Notamacropus eugenii: one gene and its partner. The protein of the gene in region 1 purifies or fractionates together with the protein of each later gene. This does not show direct contact. Links are inferred from orthologs where the notes say so. Each region holds a gene or a part of one and is shown on either strand. Other genes may lie near its edges.

What was found.
Region 2: the proteins of NES (region 1) and VIM purify together in Homo sapiens (affinity purification with mass spectrometry; 3 studies listed by BioGRID and IntAct, counting the BioPlex papers as one, with this or other methods). This does not show direct contact. The link is inferred for Notamacropus eugenii from reciprocal best matches to the Homo sapiens genes NES and VIM.

Annotation. Positions count from the first base shown.
Region 1 is NC_092873.1:380,822,880-380,833,429, reverse strand, and holds the start of NES (nestin), read left to right. Parts: upstream 1-6,353; 5' UTR 6,354-6,500; coding exon 6,501-7,292; intron 7,293-8,779; coding exon 8,780-8,904; intron 8,905-10,486; coding exon 10,487-10,550. UniProt on the Homo sapiens protein: Required for brain and eye development.
Region 2 is NC_092874.1:57,865,191-57,875,778, forward strand, and holds the start of VIM (vimentin), read left to right. Parts: upstream 1-5,340; 5' UTR 5,341-5,700; coding exon 5,701-6,593; intron 6,594-7,282; coding exon 7,283-7,343; intron 7,344-10,588. UniProt on the Homo sapiens protein: Vimentins are class-III intermediate filaments found in various non-epithelial cells, especially mesenchymal cells. Vimentin is attached to the nucleus, endoplasmic reticulum, and mitochondria, either laterally or terminally.

The DNA of each region.
Region 1 (10,550 bases):
CAAAATTGTGGTGATAGAAATTAAAAAAGGTAGAGTAGACTGAGGTTCAAAATTTCTGAGCTTTATCAATTTAGTAAGAGAACCCTGAAATCTGTTAACAAAAGATTAAATGGCTACCTCAATTCAGCCAAATGACTTGGTTAGGGCTGATCCTGTCTTTTAAACTCGAGTGTCTTTCTTCTGATTTACCTGATTATATCATTTGGACCTCCCTAGGCAAAGGCAAGACAATCCCAACTGGTAGACATTTAAGGAGGTGGGATGAGAGTCACTTCAGCTCTCCCAGGGTTCAGGAAATTGGAATAGTCTTCAGATAATAGGATTAGGCTGCAGACAAAGGGAGTCACCTGCTGCAGCTTTGCAGCAGCAACTCGAATTTGAGTTGACTAGGTGGTGGGTGAAGTGATGAAAGTGTACAATACCAGAGAGGAGAAATAAATTAAAATAATGGAATTGATACTCAAATGACCTGAGCAAGTTGTTGTGGTTCAGTTATGTCCCACTCTTTGCGACACCAATTGGGGGTTTCTCAATGAAGGTACTGGGGTGATTTGCGACACCAATTGGGGGTTTCTCAATGAAGGTACTGGGGTGATTTGTCCTTTCCTTCTCAGTTAAGCGACTTCCCCAGTGTTACACAGCTAGTGTCTGAGACCAGATTTGAACTCAGGAAGGTGAGTCTTCCTGATTCTAAGCCCAATGCTCTATCCACTCTCCCACCAAGTTACCTTTTAAAAATACATACCCTTCTGGAAGTAAGGGTAAAGGGGAAGAAAAGGAAGGGGGCTGAGAAAAGGAAGGGCAGACTGAGGAAGGTGGTGGTTGAAAGCAAAACTTTAGTGAGGAGGTAAAGGGAAAAAGGAGAGAGAAAAGCATAATTGGCAGAGGGGGAGAAATAGGATAGAGAGAAAGACACAGACAGAATCATAATTGTGAATGTGAATGGGATGAACTATCCCATAAAATGGAAATGGATAGCAAAGTGGATTAAGAACCGTAATCCTACGATATGTTGTTTTCAAGAAACATATTTGAAGCAGACAGAGTAAAGGTAAAAGACTAGAGCAGAATATATTATGCTTCAGCTGAAGTAAAAAAAAAGCAGGGGTAGCAATCCTGAACTCAGACAAAATAAAAGGAAAAATACATCGAGATAAGGAAGGAAACTACATCCTACTAAAAGGTACCATAGATAAAATTGTGCATACCCTTTGACTCAGCAATACCACTTCTACATCTGTATCCTAAAGAGATTATAAAAATGGGAAAAGGACCCACATGTACAAAAATATTTATAGTAGCTCTTTCTGTGGTGGCAAAGAATTGGAAATCGAGGGGATGACCATCAATTGGGGAATGACTGAACAAGTTGTGGTATATGAATGGTAATGGAATACTATTGTGCTATAAGAAATGATGAACAGGCAGATTTCAGAAAAACTGGAAAGACTTATATGAACTGATGGTGAGTGAAATGAGCAGAACCAGAAGAACATTGTACACAGTAACAGCCATATTGTGTGATGATTGCCCTTGACAGACTTAGCTCTTCTCAGCAATGCAAGGATTTAAGACAACTCTTAAAGACTAATTATGGAAAATGCTGTCCACATCCAGAGAAAGAATTTTGGCATCTGAATGCAGATCAAAGCAGACTATTCGTTCTCCTTTTCTTTTCTTTTTTTGTTTTGTTTCTCATGATTTCTCCCACTAGTTCTAATTCTTCTTTACATTATGACTAATGTGAAAGTATGTGTTTTATGAAGGTATAAGTAGAGCCTGTATCAAATTGCATGCTGTCTTGGAGAGGGGGAAGGAGACAGTGAAAGAGAAAATTCAAAACTCAAAATCTTGTGGAAATGAATATTGAAAACTAAAAATAAATAAATTATTTATCTATGTCTATATCTTATATATCCTTCCTGATCACCTTACCCCCACCCAGGTCTTCCTGACTCAAAGCCTGGCACTCTATTCACTGAGCCACCCAGCTGCCCACTTTCGGAAATTAACCTGGTATGATTTAGATAACAATGGTTCAGGAGGAAGAGAGAAGACAGCAAGATGAATGGAGAGATGTTACATAGTAGCTAGCATTTATATAGTGCCTTAGGGCTTTGCAAATATTACTTCATTTTATCCTTACAACAATCCTGGGAGGAAGGTGATATTATTATCCCACTTTACAGAAGAGGAGACTGAGATCTACAGGGGTTAAATGACTTACCCAGAGTCACACAGTTAATAAGTGTCTATTCCAGGTCCAGAAACATAAGAGAACAGAAGTACTCTTCTGAATTAAAATAATTCAGAATAATTAAAATAAAATACAAATTTATTATTATATTAACAACATGTAATTATATATAGTATACAAATAATATTAATAAATTGTTGTTATAATTAATAATTGATAATAAATTATTAAAAATAAATTAAAATAATTTTTAAAATAATCAGTTGGGACACTGATGTGAGCCAGAGGCATACTACTCAAGTGCTGGGAGAAGGGAATAAAAGAGCCATTGTATAGAGCATAGGCTTTGGTGTGATAAAGGAGAAGGTTTAAAAAGGTCTCTTTTTTTAAAAGAAGACTACAGGGGGTGGAGGGAGTGGGGAGTCTGAGGTCTCATTTTAATAGATTTTTGGGGGGAAACAGACCAATTTCCATCCATGCCATGTTGGGGTTAATTCATTACATCCCTAAATCATCTGAAACTTATTGGTTAAACTTAACAGGGTACTCTTGCTTGGAGAAACGAGAGAGCAGGAATACTTTGATCTTTTTTCAATGTGTGATGTTGCTGAGTCATTTCAGTTGTGTCCAACTATACATGACCCTATTTGGGTTTTATTTTTGGCAAAGGTACTGGAGTGATTTGCCATTGTCCTTCTCCAGCTCATTTTAGAGATGAGGAAACTGATACAAACAGGGTTAAGTGATTTTGTCCAGGTGTATGAGGACAAATTTGAACCCAGGACCCACTGACTCCAGGGCTGGTGATTCTATGCACTTTGCCACCTAGCTGCCCTTTCTCAATGCATAGTCCAGCTGTCTGAAAGCAATTTTTGGCAAAAGACATAATGAACACTTTCTAATGGAGAATAGCGGACTTTTGGGGAGAAGGGAAACAGAGATAGAGGAGTACAAAAAAACTCCACATGGAGTCTTTTAGGAGTAAAGGACAATGACATTGAGGAATGGACCCTGCCACCTGTTGAAAGCAGTGAAATGTTGCCTTGACAAGGTCTCTGGTGAAAAAGCAATGCAACACAGACTTTGGAGAGAAGCACTGACCTCTCCTGGGAAGAAAGAGAAGGGAGAAAAAGGAGAGAGAGAGAGAGAGAGAAAGAGAGAGAGAGAGAGAGAGAGAGAGAGAGAGAGAGAGAGAGAGAGAGAGAGAGAGAGGGGGAGGGAGAGAGAAAGCTGCTTAGGAGAGACCAAAATTAGATAATAAGAAGGATTTCGCCCATGAGCAAGTTTTGTGTGCCCTAGAAGGATCAGTGTTGGGGTGGGAAGTTAATCTCTAAGAATCATTTAGGGAGAAAAATAGTAAGAACTTTTAAGATCATTATCAGAAACTGTGAACTTAAATAGAAACCCTTATTTGTAAGGCCCAAATGATATAATAAATGTAAAGTGCTTTGCAAATTTTAAAGTATAAATGTTGGCCAGGGCTGTAACTGGACAGGGTAACTTGGTTTTACCCAGGAAGCTGAAATTCAGAGGGGGATGACAGCACTTGCAGTCCTTTAGCACCATAGAAACAACTGAGATTAGCTCATAGTTAACAAAGATAACACGTTAGAATATAACTTCAGTTGATTTAGTTTAGTGATTCCACTAGCCTTCCCTTACAAACATTCAGGTTCACAAGGGAGCTTACTCTTATTAAGGGGGCAGGGTGGAGAATGGGGACAGCATGCAAACAATGATGTACAAGCAAAATATATACAGGTTAAATCGAACATCATCAACAGAGGGGAGGCACCAGAATTAAGGAGGACAGGGAAAAGCTTCCTCTAAGGGCTTTTAGCTGGGACTTGAAGACAAGATGATCAGGGAATAGCCAGGGTAATAGTCAAGAGTCAGGAGATAGAGTGCCTTGCTTGAAGAATAAATGTCAAAGTCAGTGTCACTGGAAGGAAGAGTAAGTGGTTGGCTTGGTTAAGGTGGAATGAAGACTGGAAAGATAGGAAAGAGTACAGAAAAGACTTGTATTGAGATCTACAGAGAATCAAGCTCTGTGACCATCCCTTGACTGATTGTCTTCTTATTTTAACTTTATCTTCAAAAGCTCCTTTTATTTTCCCTAGAATTTTTGGCAGTGCTCATAGCTGGGCTTTAGCCTTGCTGATACAATTCTGACAGGTCAGTGATCAACGTTTTTATGTTCATTCTTGGTTGCTCAAGCAGTGAATAACTAGAAAGAGCATTACACTGTATAATCATTCAAGCCTAGCTATGCCACTGGCAACTAGCTCCAAGGTCACACAATTGCCTTCTCTTGGCCTCAGTTTCTTCTTAAAACTGGATGTGGGATGAGATAGTCTTTAAAGTCCCTTCAGGATCTTTCCATGACCTCTTCCTCCCTTCTTTTCTCTATATTTTTTGAAGTCTAAAACTTTTGGAGAACTCTTTCAGCAACTTAACAAAAATAACAACAAAAATCAGCCTTTATTTTTACCTATTTACATATTTTTCTTCCAAAAGATCATTTGTATTTTTATGATCAGAATAGCTTTCCTTTTTCTTTTCTTTTTTCTTCCTTTCTCCTCCTCCTCCAATTTCCCACTTTTCAGTCATCTTCCCTTTTAAATTCTCAGGCGATGGGATCCTACCTATCCTATCTCTGAGATTTCTGAAACCATCTTTTCTAAGGTCTTACAAACAAAACTGGCTATGCTGAGCTTGTCAGCTCAGGCCTCCTAAATGCAAAGGTGGAATGGTCACTTTCCCCCCCATACAAACATGTATAGTCAAGCAAAACAAATTGCCACATTTGTTATGACAAAATGTATCTTAGTCTGTACTTTGCACCTGTTATTCCTTTGAAACCTGCCCTCTCCAAACCCAGAGAGGTGGTTAGACTTCTTCATCTGCATCACAAACTTATCTATTGTTTTCTTAACTAGCCTATTTAGCCACCAGAGGGCGCTCTCTTCTCGAGAATTTTAGTCTCCCTTCCAGGTAGACTGAAGACTAGAATGTTTTCTAGAAGAAAAAACCAGATACTTAAAAGGACTTTGTCCTCCACAGGTTAGAGAAAATGACAGGAGGAATGAGAGTCAAGTAGCACCAAGAAGTTCTGCAGGCCCTTGGCACCCCAAGTCCTAACCCTCCACCAGTCCCTGATGCAGGACTCCAAGTTGATGGGGAAGATGAGACAGGTTGACTGTGTGAAAGAGAGTCTCCCACAATGTCTCTGGCCCTGTTTCCTAGACTCTAGTTATAGCTGCTGGTCCTTACCCTGACCCGGCCCTTATATCTCATCTTCTCCTGTCTTCTCGGAGTCTTTTCATAAATTATTTTCCATATATTCTTTCTTTAAACTCCCAGAATTTAGCACAGTGTCTGGAACACAGTAAACACTTAGTAAATGCTGGATGACAACTTTCTGCTGTGTCCATTCCTTACTCTTTCTCAACCCTTTTTCATATTTTTCTATTCCAAGAAGCCTCCCTAAATTATCACTTTCTGTTCTGCTTTCTCATTCTCCCTACCTAGCTACCTAGAACTCTGTGGAGCTGGATTTTCTCTCCTTGTCTCTTTCTCTGTGTCTGTATCTTTGTCCCTTAAGCATAGAATTACGGAACATTGAAGCTGGAAGGGGGCAAAGAGTTCATTTTTGTTCATTCAGTTCATTCCTGGACAGGAATCCCTTAGAAAAACATTTCTAACTGTGAATGCTTGTCATCTAGCCTCTGCTAGGAGACCTATGAAGATGGAGAACTCACTACCTTAAGTGGAAACTAGATCCACTTTTGGACAGGAAGTATTTTCTGACATCGAGAATAAACTTTCCTGTTTGCGGATTTCCACTCATGGAAATCTTGCTTCTGCCTTCTGGAACCAAGCAGAATATGTATGCCCTCTTCCACATGACAGAACTCCCACTGCTTGAAGACACCAACTATCAAGTCCTTTTTAAATCCTTTCTCCAATCAGGCTGGTGGCTCCCCAGGACAGGGACTGTACCTTCTCGGAATATCCCCACCCTGTACAGAACTGCCTAAAAGAGATGCCCAATGCAAACGTTGGGCACAGCTTTTGGTTGTCAAGGGGTTAAGTCTTCCCTGTCTCCGCCCCCTTTTCCCAGCCGGCGGGAGTATGAATAGCGGGACTCGCTCTTCTCTCCTCTCCAAGTCTCTCCGGAAGCTCCCCCGCTCTCTTCCTAGCCCTCTCACCCTGCTTCTCCTCCCGGCTCTCCGAGGTGCTCGGAGACCCGCCCCTTTCTCCTCTCACTCGGTGCCCTTCTCCCTCCGGGGTGGCATTTAGGATGATGGAGGGCTGCATGAGAGAGGAGTCTGTTCAGATGTGGGAGCTCAATCGGAGGCTGGAAGCCTATTTGTCCCGGGTGAAGTCCCTGGAGGAGCAAAACGAGAGGCTTCGGCTGGAGATAGGGAGTCTCCGGGAGCTACCTGGGGAGCCATCCTGGAGAAGCCAAGCTGAGGAGGAACTGAACTCTCTGCGGGCCCTGCTGGACCAGCGCTGGAGCGAGAAGCATGCTGCTGAAGTGGCCAGGGACAATCTTCTGGAGGAGGTAGAGGGGGTGGCAAGCCGATGCCAGCAGCAGCGATTAGCCCGGGAGCGGGCTAAGGAGCAGATGGCTGAGAGCCGCCGGGTGCTGGAGGCCGAGAAGTGGGCGGGGGTGTGTCTGGGGAACCAGGCAGCCGAGCTGGAGAAGGAGCTCGAGGCCTTGGTGGCTGCCCATGAGCAGGAGCGGGCGGGAATAAGCGCCCAGGTGGCACGCTCCGCCTCTGCCCTGGAGACCTTTCGCAGGGCTCCAGATAATGCCCCTGCCCCCGACGTGCAGGACTTAGCCCGCACTTTCGGGGAGGCGTGGAGGGGCGCAGTGGAAGGTTACCAGGCCCGCGTTGCCTGCATGGAAGCCTCCCTGGGACAGGCCCGGGAGAGGCTGGGCCAGGCAATGCAAGGGACCCGAGAGGGACAACGAGAAGTGCAGCGGCTGGACGTAGAGAGGGCAGCCCTCCAGGGCCGTCGAGAGATGCTGGAGCAGAGGCTGGAAGGACAATGGCAGCAGCAACAGGAGTCAGGGGAGAAGTTCCAGGTGAGCGCCATTCCCCTGCCCCTCTGCTCCTGTCTCCGAACCCCTCTTCCTCTTTCCCAGCTCCTGCCCATTGATTGCTCCGTCTCCCCTTGTCCCAGCCTCTCTTACTCAGTGTCTTCCAGCCCTGACATGTCTTCCTACTGTTACTGACCAAGTTCTGGTGGAATCTGCTTTGGATTGAAGAGATCAAGCTCCCTAGTCTCTCCAAAGTGTGGAGAGTTCGAAAGGAAAGCGGAATTATCCTGTCTATAGGGACCTGGCCAGAGGAGCAAAGTCCACGTTCCCTCTGTCATTGGAGACATTCCCAATGCCAGAAAAGGATCACATTCTAAATATAGGGCACCTAGAATCCCCAACTCCAACACCCAAAGATGTTCTTTGGGGTATCCCCAAGTTTTCCTCAAGAATTCCCTGGTAGGATGAAGAGAATGGGCTGATAATTTTCATACGCGCACACACACCCGCGCACACACACACACAGAGAAAGAGAGAGACAGAGAGACAGAGACAAAGAGAGACAGCAACAGAGCGACAGAGAGACAGAGAATGCTAACCCTTATATTTCCAAACAGTTTTGCAGAAGCATCATCAACACTTTATTCCCCAACCTCCACCACACACCTATACCTCCGGCACCCTTCTCTCCTTGGTCCACAGCAATTTTGAATTCTTCCCTACTTGGGCAGCTTTTATGGAGCCAACAAAAGATTCCCAATGGGTTTAACAGAGCTCAGGGAAGGGGTCAGGGGACCCAGGCATCCAGATTTCCAGCCCCTTTCTGTCTCATTTCACTGCTCCCAGGAGGGAGCTCCACATTCCAGAAGAGCAGAGACAGCTGTCCCTGGTCTCACACACAGCTGTGACTGACAGCTGTGAAAACAACCTCCCAGTTTGGACCTGAATAGGGAGTGGGGGGCCAGGGTTTTAGAGAAGGACTGGCTGCCCCCTCTCCTCTTCCCTTCTCATTTGAGGAAGGAGGATTTCAGGAAATGTGGAGGCGGGGAGGGGAGAGAGAACTAAAGCTTGGAATGAAAGAAAAGGACCCAAAATTGGGTGTGGGGAGGGTGAAAAATAGAGGGTAGGAAATTGTTCAAGTTCTCAGGTAGTAGTTTCCCTCTTTTGATTTTCCTTTTTTCCTCTTCTATTTCTGTTTTAACTTTCTCCTCTCTTCTCCTTTATCTATTTGCTTTGGTGTTCAATGTTGGAGGGCTGAGCATCCTCACAGGGCTGAGCCATGCGATACATACCCTTTGAGAACATTGTTGAATAATCCTTCTCCCTCCCCCCAAAAAAGAGAGGATGCAGTTCTTGCCTCTGGGACTCCAAAGGGAAATTTTCCTCAGGAAAGGCATATGTAAGGGTCATCTCCCCAGAGAACTGAACAAGAAGGAATAAGCTGTTATTGGAACAGGAGGGATGGGAAGACCTTCCTATCCTTTAAGAAGAATGGAAGGGAGATGCTGATTTTTCTGTTCCTTATTTTGCAGCTGGCTGTGGAGGCCCTGGAGCAGGAGAAACAGGATCTCCACAACCAAATTGCTCAGGTCCTGGAAGATCGACAACAGCTGATGCACCTGAAAATGTCCCTTAGCCTAGAAGTGGCCACGTATAGGTGAGGTCCCTTTCCCAGAACCCTTCTTCCCTAGAACATCATGGTTCAGAAAACAAGAATCCTTGAACTAGGAGTCAAAACAGCTGGGTTCAAATCCCAGACCTGCCATTAACTTACCATGTGATCTTAAACTTTAAGTCTCTTCCCTTCCTCTGAGTCTCAGTATGGTCATATGCAGGACAAAGGTTTTGAACTATATCTCTAAGGTCCCTTCTTTCTTTTACAGCCCCTTTTCAGCTCCAGAGAGAGAACTACTACATCAGCTTTCCCCATAAGTTCTACATCTCTCTTCCCACACATCCCTTCACATCCTTATTGCATCAGACCTGGGTTCCAGATGAGTTCGATACATAGAGGCAAAGAGCTGAGGTCTAGGATGTTTTTGTCTTCTGGTGCCATTGCCTAGTTTTCATTAAACCTGCCTCCTTAGTTTTATGCAGGAAGATGGGAGAGGGCTTATGCTGTTGGCTTAACAAGCTCATCTCCCTTCTGATCTTTGTCCTAAGCCCCCAGGAAAGTCCTGAATCCTGGGCTAGGTCGGAAAGGCACAAGGATACAATGTTAGATGGGGTGAGATGGGAGAGGGACAGCAAGAGTGTGCACATGAGAAGGATCACAAGGATGGGGGCGTTGATCAGGACCCGGAGGAAAGAAGGTTGGGGAGGAATGAACATTGTCAGAAAGAGGAGGTTAGACAAAAGGAAGGACTTCATGGTCAGAGAAATATCAATGGTTTTTGCTTCCTTGGAGACAGGGAGAAAAGGCATATAAGAATGCTTATTTAATTGACTTGTAAGACATTATCTTCCCATTTTCCATTGGTGATGGGGGGAGGTAGGTAGGAAGCATGTCCTACTCAGAGATGGGGGGATGGACATGATTCCTATCTTTAAAGTGACCTGAGTTTCAGAGCGCTTGGAGATCCCAACACAAGAACCTTGACCCCCAGTCCAACTACTGAGAGGAAAGAGGAGAGGAGGCCCTGAGGAATTATAACTTGGGTTCTTTGTAGGGGTGTGGTGCAGAAAGGTTTAGAATTCTGAATTCATTTACTATTGTCTGAGCACAGCTCCCCTTCATTCTACATGGCAAGATGGGGGAGCTCATCCCATGGGAACGGCTTGAGAATTCCTGCTTCCCCAAGGAAGCCCCCCTTCCCAGACCCTCCAGATGGCTGCCTGGACAATGGCAGCTGATTAGCATGAGAATAGTGCCCCCCAGCCTCCACAGGGAGAGGATGAGGTCATGGGCATGAGGGAATAGATTCCAGAGTGGGAGAGACACACAGTCTCCAAAGCAACGTGTGTATGCATGTGTGATTGTGATGTGTGAGTTTGTCTCTATGTGGCTGTGTGACTTTGCATGATGGCATAAATGTGTGGAAGTATTTTAGTGAGTGACTGCCACATTTGCGTGTCTGTAGTGCTGTAATCTTTGTCTGTGGATATGTGTTTGTGTTTGGATCTCTCATTTGGTGAATGAACCTGTCATGTTGGGGCAGAGGGAAGTCATTTTACCATACTGGATTGGTTTAATTTATCAGACAATCGGAGTGACCCAGGACATTTTCTTTTGTTTCTAGGACCCTCCTGGAGGCTGAGAGTTCCCGGCTGCATACATCCAATATAGACTCAAAGGTCACTGTC
Region 2 (10,588 bases), on another chromosome or scaffold:
TGTTAAAGCTCAGAATAAGGGAAAGCTTGCAAACGAAAAAAACAATCAGAGGATTTGTTCTTTTAAGTATGTGAGGCAAAAGAAGGAAACCAAAAAAGGGATATGACTGTTGTTCTTGGGGGACTGAATAATAACTGATGACAGAGAAGGGTCTGAGCTGTTCATCTTATATGTTCAACTTCTACTTTCCCTGTCAAGGAAAATGAACTTTGAGTTGGAAAGGATGGAGCAAAAACAACCACAAAAAACTTATCGTTGAGTACTGAAAGAACTGGTAACATTGCCAATATAAGTAGTCTTTAAAACATCATGGAGAGATATTAAAGAATTGGAAATGATTAAATGTCCCAATTTTCAAAAAAAGAGAACAGAATCAACTCTGCAAACTATGGACCAGGGAGCTTGAATAGATTCCTAACAAAATTCTAAAATTAAAAAAAAAGTTATATTTGTGACTTTTGGTTTTAATAGTACATTTATTTCTGAAAATATCTCTCTGCCACTGCTGTATCTATTACCACATGAGCCTTCCTATGACTAAAAACAGTTCAGTGAAATCAAACAACACATTGATCATACCTGAAAGTTTATACAACATCTCACATCCACTGTCCTTCACTTCTTCTAAAGGAGAAGATACATTCTCATCTCTTCACTGGAGCAAAACTTATTACAATTTCACACTGCTCATGTTCATTTTACTGTTCTTTCAATCCACCCTGAAGGCTTGAAGCTCAGGACTTGAGCTTCTTGAAGTCAGAAAATATGTTGTTTTGGCTTTTTTATCCCTACTGTTATCACATCTCCTAGCACATACTAGGCACTTAATAAATGCTTGCTGAATGATTGACACATGGTTTTCTGGTTCTACTTATATCGATCTGTCAGGTCATATGCCTTGCCATGTTTCTATGAATTCCTCATATTTTTAATTTCTAATGGCACAATGATATTCCATTATATCATTTGTCACCACTTTCTTAGTCACTAGTCAAATGAATGATGAGATCCCAAAGTATTTCTAGTTATTTGCTTCTATAAAACTTTAAAATTCTGTGATTCTGTGACAAACACTGCTATAAATATTTTTGTATATATGGAACTAATGTGTTCTCAAAGGGTGAGTTAATGCACATCTAGAAAAGGGAGAAGTTATCACAAAGAATCAGCATGGTTTCATCAAGAATGGGTCATACCAGACTACTTCTATTTTCCTTCTTTTTGTGACAGCGTTACTTGATGAGTAGATCAGCTGTAGATGAAGTTTTATGTTCTTCAGCTGAGGAATAGATGTTACCTCCAAATTTATCCTATATCTATCTTGTTTGATTTATATGTTTCTTCCCCATTAGACTCTGAGTTGCTTAAGGGTAGGTACTATTTTCTTTTTGGTCTTTCTTTGTATTCCTAGTACTTGGAGTTGTCCCTGGAATAAATGCTAGTTGACTGGTGTTACAGTCAGATGGATTAAAAACTGGTTGAATGGCCAAGCTTAAATGAGTTAAAGATTTTATATCAAAACTAATGGAGGGCCTAAGGAATCTGTACTTGGACCCAGAGATTGTTTGACATTTTTTGTCAATGATTTGGACAAATACACAGATGGCAGGCATACCAAAATTCCAGATGACAAAAAGCTTGGAGAAAAAGCTAACAAGTTGAATGACTAAGTCAGGATCCAAAAGATCTGGACTGACCAGAATATTAGGCTGAGTCTAATAAGATGGGATTTAAAAGCCCTAAGTAGATAGGCTTACACTTCTCTTGAAAATGTTAGCTTCATGAATTCAAGACAATGAACATGTGGCTAGTCAATGATTTGTAGGAAAAAAAATCTGGGGGATTTAGTGGACCACAAGCTACAAATGAGTCAACAGTCTGAAATTTGAATATTTCGATGACTTTTGTGATTTCACTAATATGGGCATTCTCCTATGGAGCACAAGGCAACCCGTTCAAATTCTAAGAACTGATTGAACATTTAATATACTATTTTCTGTCTTCAATTATTTTGATTAATTATGATCCAATCAAATTCAAAGCAAAAGGAATACCAAACACTTATTAGCTGTCTTCAGTGAGTAGAACACCATGCTAGGCACCAGAAGTACACAGTTTAGATAAGAGTAGTACCAACCCTACATCTCTCAGTCTTATAAATTGCTTTGCTTTCTATCATTTCAAAGCTTGTTTCTTTCTCTTCATTAGTACATGAAATAACATTTGAATGCTTTCTGAAGAGGCTTACACAGTAATCTCCCCCAAAAATGTAAGAATGAAGTCAGTAGTTTCCTTGTCATCAAGAAAATTAGATAGAACATAGGATTAGTTCTTGCATTTAAGGCAAGATACATCCATTACATACATCCATCTTAGATACATCCATTTTTACTATATTTAATAAATCAGCAATATTTGTTAGGTGCCCACTGTGTGCTAAACATTCTACTGGACACTGTATTTATTGCTTCAGAATTAATTCAACACTTGCTAAAGCCTGCCAGGCTCTTGAAATAAATGCATAAAAGTGTTTCTCACAGTAATCGCGTCAAACTTTAAGGTGATTTCTGATGGAATAAAGGAAAGTGTGCCTAGTGGACTGGGAATATTTGGTATGGAGGGGGGGAAAGCTTATTGAAGACATGATAACCAATTTCTAATATTTGAAGGGTTGCCACATGGTGGAATGCTTAGATTTGTTCTCTTTGTACCCTGGGAGCAGAGGTAGGAAAAATGAGTGGAAGGTATAAAGAGGCAAAGATGTCCTTGATGTAAGAAAAGCTTTCCCAAAATTAGAGCAATGCTAAAGTGAAATGTGCTGCTTGCAGAGGTCATAGAATAATAGGTTTAGAGATGGTCTTTCAAAGTCATCTAGTCCAACTTTCTCACTTTACAGCTGAGGAAACTGAGGTTCAGGGAGACATGACTGCCCAAGGACACATAGATAGTAAGCAACAGGTATTGGCTTCTCCAGTTCCAGAGGGTTTAAAATGGATGGGGGAATCAGCACTTGTTAGATCCTGTAGACAGCGATCTTGTCCAGATATGGACTGGATGGTAGTTTCTGGGGTCCTTTGTAATTGTGGTTCTGTAATTTGCCAGAAAGTCCACAGAATAAGAGCGGTACTAGGACATGCCAAACATGTTGTCAAAACAAATGTTGAAAAAAATCACAGCTAATTGAAGAGAAGTGGTGAAAAGAAGGATACTGGTAACATAAAGAATGCAAGCTGGACTTTCTCGACCTTTTTAAAAATAATACTGTCAAACCTCACCAAAATCTCTTTTCGGTTTATTCAGAGGTTTATCTTCTGCCAATGAGTCAGTCAATAAGCATTCACAGAGTTCCCAGGAGGTACAGAACACTAAACTTGGCTGAACAGTTTTTTAAATATAGAATGTTAGTTTCTTCTATACGGTGGACAGAGCCTTTACCCCCTTTTCTTCCCTTATGGGGTGATAGATAGGCTTTCTTATTCTAAGGGTTCCAGGCAACCTCACAATGGACTTACATTTCCTAAGCAGCAGTTAAAATAAAGACCTCTCAGAAAACAGGATGGTAACATGGAACACAGGCTGCTCTGCCAGTACAGTGAGCCCCAGGAATGTTCTTTTCGTGTGACCCTCGCCTCCCAGGGAAAGCATGAATAAAGAAAGCCACAGTGCAAGATTTGTGCTTCAAATGCTCTCACAGCTCAACCTTGTCAGCTCCATTTGCCCAATTTAACTGAAATGAGGAAAACAAACTACAGTCTTGACTGAAAGAGGCTTGTAGAAAGAGACCCATAATAAACTTCTTTATTTAACTCTGAACTACATTCCTTAAATACAGGTAACTTTCAGCATCCAAAGGGAAAAAGAAAACAGGATCCTACTTTTTTTCCTCTCTGTATCCCTAGGAGCGTCAAGATGCATTTATTTTTGTAGTAGTCCTTTAGTTAATGCTTTCAAGGGTTTAAAGTTTTACGATTTAAAATTCAAGGGATTAAAATCATTCTAAAACTAGGATAATTGTAGCTTCTAAGCTGTTACTTCATGCCTATCGTCCCCACTGTTCAACACTGTTCTAACCTCACTAGATAGTTAATGGCAAAATGTTTGAGTTCTGTCTTATTAATCTCTAACATCACATTGAGCTTCTTATCATTTACCTAGTACTGGTACATGACAGGACCTCTGGTTTCCTGGATCAGGGTCCTTGGCTCCTATGTTAATTCCATGACTCCCTCTCACCCCCCAACCCATCTCACAGCCAAGGAGCAGAAGAACCTGCAATATTCTACGATTGCTCATAAGCCGGTATCATTTCTCCATATCGGTGGCACTTTTAAAATGAGAAGCTGTAATGTTTTGTACTACTCGCAATACAAACTTTACGTTCTTGCAAACATCCCTATTTCATCATTTGTGGTATAATTGCTTCCCATTTAAAATAATTCATTAGTTAAATCTGGTCTTAAGGGTTAGCACTTCATTAATCTTTTAATGGAGCTATATTTATACCTCCGAAATAGTTTCTGGATATTACTACAAAATGAGAAAATCAGTCAATTCAATTTGCTTTTGAAAGGCTTGTTTCAAAACATGGCTTTTTTGGAAGGGAAGGTTAACTTTATATGGTTTCCTTCTTACATAAAACTTTCTGATCATTTAAAAGATTTACTTCATGGAAGGAGAACGGCCCAAACACAGGCTTGAAACGTGGACACTTTGAAGATTCTCCCCTTCCGTATACCTAGAGGGGATGGGTGGATACCCCCTAACTCAGGCTCTTCAGACGCACAAATCGACAGAAATGTCCTCCTAGTAAGAATGGAGCCACACCCCTTCATCCTGGAGCGAAGCCCTCTTCAGGATAGAAGAGTGAGAAGCAGTACCCAGGCAGGAGGGGGCCCTTTTAAGGGGGGGCACATAGACATCGTCTGCTACAGCTCAGAGTAGTTGCTTGTCTCTAAGTTGGGTAGAAAATGAGCGCATCCAGACCGGAGGAGAGAGTTTATCTAACGGTTTCTGAAGCTGAGCGTTGGAGACGAGCCTCTCCAAGCAACCACGGCCCAGTGATTCATCTCCAGTGATTCACGGTCCCTTCCCCCCTCCTCCCCCTCCGCATTCCTTCCATCCTGCTCTACCGCCTCCCCTCCCTCGGACTCCAGACCGTCCGATTCCGGACAAAACCCGCAGGGTCCCTAGACACCGAGGACGGCCCAGCAGGATAAATGAATTCGCAGAAATGGGCCCATCCCTCTTCTTCCGCTTGGCACAAAGGGGAAGTAACAATGCCTGAACAACTTCATTTTCTCGAGTGCACGCCCCCTTCTCCCTCCTCCCAAATCTCAGGCTCTTTCTTTCTCGCTGCCTCCTTCCCTTATGGCCGAGAAATCACTCTCCCCCCGCCTTTCCTCCCCCTTGGCCAGGGTCTCGCCACTCTGGTCCTTCCTGGCAGAGTCCCTCTGGCTCCTCGGGCCTCCCTTTCGCCCTTTTGGCTGGAAACCAAGGTGCCCCTCCCACCCCCTCCTACTACGCCTCTTTGGAAGAGTCTCCTAGACCTCTCTCCTCCTTTTCCAATGTCGCGTTCTGAGTGGGTCCCCCAACTTCCTCTAAGCTTTCTCCTACTTTGTCAATGTGCCCAAAGGTGAGAATCACCCCCCTCCTGCGGGGGATAATCAGCAGGATTCCGAGCCCAGCCCCAAAAGTAACGGGATGGGGCTTTCCGCCCAGTTTGGGGGAGACGGGGGAGGGCTAAGGGCGGCACCTCCGCCCACCCTGACCCCACCCCTGAACACCCTCTCCCCGTACCCTCCCTACTCTGTCCTTTCTCCCTGGGTCCCCATTGGCTGGCGAGTAGCCGGGGATTGGCCAACGGCGGGGGCCCCCTCCGCCGATATAAGAGTCGCCCACGAAGCGGGGTCCCGCTCTCTGCCTCTCCAGTCTCTCGGCTCTTGTCGCCTTAGCTGCAGCCAGCGCCGCCGCCACCGCCACCGCCCCTCTCTCTTCGCGGGTCGCGCTCCACGCAGCAGCCCTCCAGCCATGTCCACCCGGTCCGTATCCTCCTCCTCATACCGCAGGATGTTCGGCGGCAGCAGCGCCGGCGGCCGGCCCAGCTCCAGCCGCAGCTACGTGACCTCGACCACCCGCTACAGCCTGGGCAGCGCCATCCGGCCGAGCAGCACCCGCAGCGTGTACTCGTCCTCCCCAGGTGGCGTGTACGCTACACGCTCGTCGGCCGTGCGCCTGAGGAGCAGCGCCCCGATCCCGGGAGTGAGGCTGCTGCAGGACTCGGTGGACTTCTCTCTGGCCGATGCCATCAACACCGAGTTCAGGAACACCCGCACCAACGAGAAGGTGGAGCTGCAGGAGCTCAACGACCGCTTCGCCAACTACATCGACAAGGTGCGATTTCTGGAGCAGCAGAACAAGATCTTGCTGGCCGAGCTCGAGCAGCTCAAAGGGCAGGGCAAGTCGCGCCTGGGGGACCTGTACGAGGAGGAGATGCGGGAGCTGCGCCGGCAGGTGGACCAGCTTACCAACGACAAAGCCCGGGTGGAGGTGGAGAGGGACAACCTGGCCGAGGACATCATGCGGCTCCGCGAGAAGTAAGAGCGTGCTAGCTGGCCGGGGTCCATTGTCCCTTTCACCTAGGTGGGGAGGAGGAGGGATGCAGACTGGCGGCTCCATCCCCGGTCTGTTCTGGGGCTGCCACGCCCTTGGGCCCTGGGGTGGGGGTGGGGGGTGGGGAGGAGAGGGAGCCCGGGCTGGGGAAGGAAGAGAAGTAGGGGACTGTGGTCTGGCATCTGTGTGGAGGTCGCCCCGCCCTTCATCTCCTGCAGCTCTCCACGGCTCCCTCTCTATTCTAACCATGCACTGGCCTTAAAAAGTTGCTCGAATGTCTCCTATCTCTTAACTCTCCCCTTGTTGGAGGCGGGAAAGAGTTTCACTAACTTTTCCCCAAGTTTCCTTGCCTCTTTTCCGAAGAGCCTCGGGAAAAAAAAAAGAAAATTATGGCCAGAGGGAGGGAGGCGAGACAAAGGGCAATGACGCCACGGCCTTGGTCACCCTCACTGAGCTGCTCACTTCTCCGAGTCTCACTTCAGAGGGTCCCCAAGGTGCTGCAGCCCCCACTCCCTCAAAGGAGCCCAGGAGAAAGAGCCCAAGTTAGCGGTCTACCCTTGAAGAATTGCTTCTTTCCCCCGGGGATGGGGTGGGGTGGGGTGGTTGGGTGTGGCCTGTCCAGCCCAGTTGGCGGTTTCCCGCTTCCTCCTTGGTTGATGTGTCACTCTTTCAGGTTGCAAGAGGAGATGATGCAGAGAGAGGAAGCCGAGAGCACCTTGCAGTCTTTCAGACAGGTTTGTAGCTTTCCTTCCCCGCCACCTTTGTCCATCGGACACGCAGTTCTAAAAGTTGGTCCTTAACCCCAACTGGGCTTCGAACAGCTTCCAGTCTGTTGGCGCAGCCCTCTAGCGGCGGCCAGGTGCCAGATCCAAGCTCCCCAGGAACTGGGGGATTGGCCTGGGTGTCACCAGAGAATACAAAGGCCGGTAATATAATCCTCCTTAGCTTTTAACTTTGTTTCAAGTTTTCAAAGAACGGGACAGTCTTCATTTTTCCCTTGCGTTCTGAGACGCAGATTTGAGCAACCTCAATTTGAGTGGGATTGCTATTTGCTGCAGTCAAAGAAGTTTGACATTTTTGTATTGTTTCCAAGCCAAAAGAAGTGCAACACACAGTGGTTCAAAAAGTAAAATAAATGTTATTTTAGGAAGGACTTGCTGTGAATAAATAGAATCAAGACAGAAACTAGATGGGGGAGGGGAGGTAGAGAAAAGGGGGAGTCCTATTGTAGAGCAAACTAGATGGGGCATAAAACAAAAGGGCTCCCACACACAACTATTTTTTTATCTTAATAAGGGTGAAAAGGAGCCATCTGTCCAGCTGGCTATAGAGTATTAGTGGTTTCTATGGGATTCACTATGGAATGTAGATAGAGACTTTCTGGGAAGTGGGGTCGCCTAGAGAGAAAGAATAGGAGTCTTTGTGTTCACAGGAAAGCTTGCAACAGGCTGCATTCTTACAGAATATGTAATCACTTTTAATTGGAGACGAGTATTTTATAAGAGAAAGTTATACTTAAACCTGAGCAGCACATTAGATATGACATTAGAACTTTTCAAAGGACTTTAGTCAGAGTTGGTCCTGATAGGACCCCTCTTCTATCTTTTTGTTTGTAATTTCCTTTTCCAGAAAAGTTTTTCTTTAAAAAGGTGTTCTCATGGGTGAGGGGTAACAGAGTAGAAAGCTAAACTTGGGTTTCGAGTGGCATTTTCAAAACAGATATGTTATGCTCCAGAACTTTGAGAAATCTGAGGCTGTATGAAGAGAATGGAAAATGAAGGGGCAGCTAGGTGGCAACAGTGCTTAGAGAACCAGCCCTGGAGTCAGGACGACCTGAGTTCCAATTCAGCCTCACATTTATTAGTTGTGTGACCTTGGGCAAGTCATTTAACCCCATTGCTTCAGAAAAAAAAAGGAAAATGAAGTATAGAATGGTTACCTTGTTTAAACTTTGAGTAAATATATGCACTTTTGAGAGCATACTTTAAGCTCATTATTAGATTAAGATTTTTTCTAGTCTCTCCTGGATGGAAGTGTTAGGATATTTAGATCCAAGATATATACATACATGTGTACAAACATACAAATATATACTTATACCAGGATAAACTGTGAAGTGTAGAGAAGAGAGAAGAGTGAACGATGTGAAATTAGAAGACTCAGATTCAAATCTTGCCTCTGTAGTTTCCTGCTTGTATGCTCTAGAGCAAATGACTTAAGCGCCTTCTGTCTCAGTTTCCTCAACTGGAAAATGAGGGGTTTGGACTACATGACCTACAAAGTGCCTTATATCATAAAATGGATCACAAAAATGAATGGGGAGAGGAGGATAGGGTAATGCAGTTCCCTTTTGAAGGATTGGCAGGAAAGCAATGATCTTGAATGATTTGATCACATTTTCATTCACTTGAGTTTGTCAGTATCACATTCTAGTGACATTTTAGTGGGGTTTTTAAAAATTTGTAAGTCACCATTTCAGGGTAAAAATGCCTATCTACCAAACTAAATCAAAGTGGATTTGTCAAATTACAAAAGATATGATTACATGTTATAGAAAAATGGACTGTTGTCTTTATTCACTCATTTGTGAAGAATGAGTGACTTTTGTCCTATACACTTATAAATAGGTGATAGCAAATCTTGGGACTTAAATGAAGGTAATATGTTTTCTTCAGCCCTGTAGAAGGACCCATGTGGCACTTTTCTTTGAACTGTTTGCCATAAGTATTCTCAGAGTTGAACAAAAAGCAAACCAATTTTTTTAAACTCAAAATTGGATCTTTTTTTTACTTATCCATTACTTAATTGATTTATTTCAATGAGAGTGTTACAAGTGTCTCTGAATTTTGTAGAGTAGAAAGTGTCCCACCAAATATATCTTAAAAGATAAAATATAGACATTTCTGAAGGGGAAGGAATAATCCCTGTACCTGCAAGGTCATACATTCTGATTAGGAAATATGACTGTTTACAAATGGAGTTACTAAATCTGTTTTGTGCTGAGACAAATGAAGGTAAGTCTTGACCAGGCAACAGCTCTACATACACATTTCTGTTTAAGAGTAATAATGAGATTTATTTTAAACAGTCATTTCGAAACAAGTTCTAGTAACAGACTTGAACCCATGGAAGGAAAAGGATACATACACTTTTAAGGTGTTCAGAAAAGGCTGACGCAGCTCAGCTGCCAAATAGATGCAAAACAAAGGTGAATCCAAGGTGTTTAGTTTTTCTTCACTTGGCACTTTTCTTGGCAGTGACAGTACATATCCAGAGCTAGAGTATTGAAATACTAGACATGGTTCATACATCCTAGGAAACAAAGAGGTACCTAAAAATTTATTTTAAAAGATTTGGGGTAGGGCACATTGTTTTGTTTCAATTTGTCATGAAACTTTATGGTTCCATGAGTGCCTTCTCCCAAAAACAAAACAAAAAATCAGTTAGGTGGTACAATGGAGTTGGAGTCAGGGAGACCTGAATTCAAATCTAGCCATGGATGCTCAGTAGCTATGTGTCACTTCATCTCCTCTTGCTCAGTTTCCTTATCTGTAAAAAGGATAATAAAAGTACCCATCTCCCAGAATTAGGATAAAATGAGGATAAAATTTAAAGTACTTTGCAGACCTTGAAGTGCCATGGAACTATTAGCTAGTGTCATTCTTAGATTGCAAGCTTGAAAATTAAATAGATCTCATTATAGTTCATCTGTGGTACTCTGTTAAATTTACCATTGTCATATGAAATTAGATCTTAAAAGCTCTGTGATGTTGGAAAAAAAGTTCCTTAAGTATTTTTAAACTGAATCCAAATGTTACTTCAGTGGAGTAGATAGTACTAGAACAGCTGCCTGGGACCATTTGGTTTTTGTCCAGCATTAGGGGGCCTGGGATCTTTTCTGTGCATCATTATCATGACTTTGTAACTTTAGGAAGGGCTGACATTCCACAGAATGGATGTGTTTCTCTAAAACCCATGC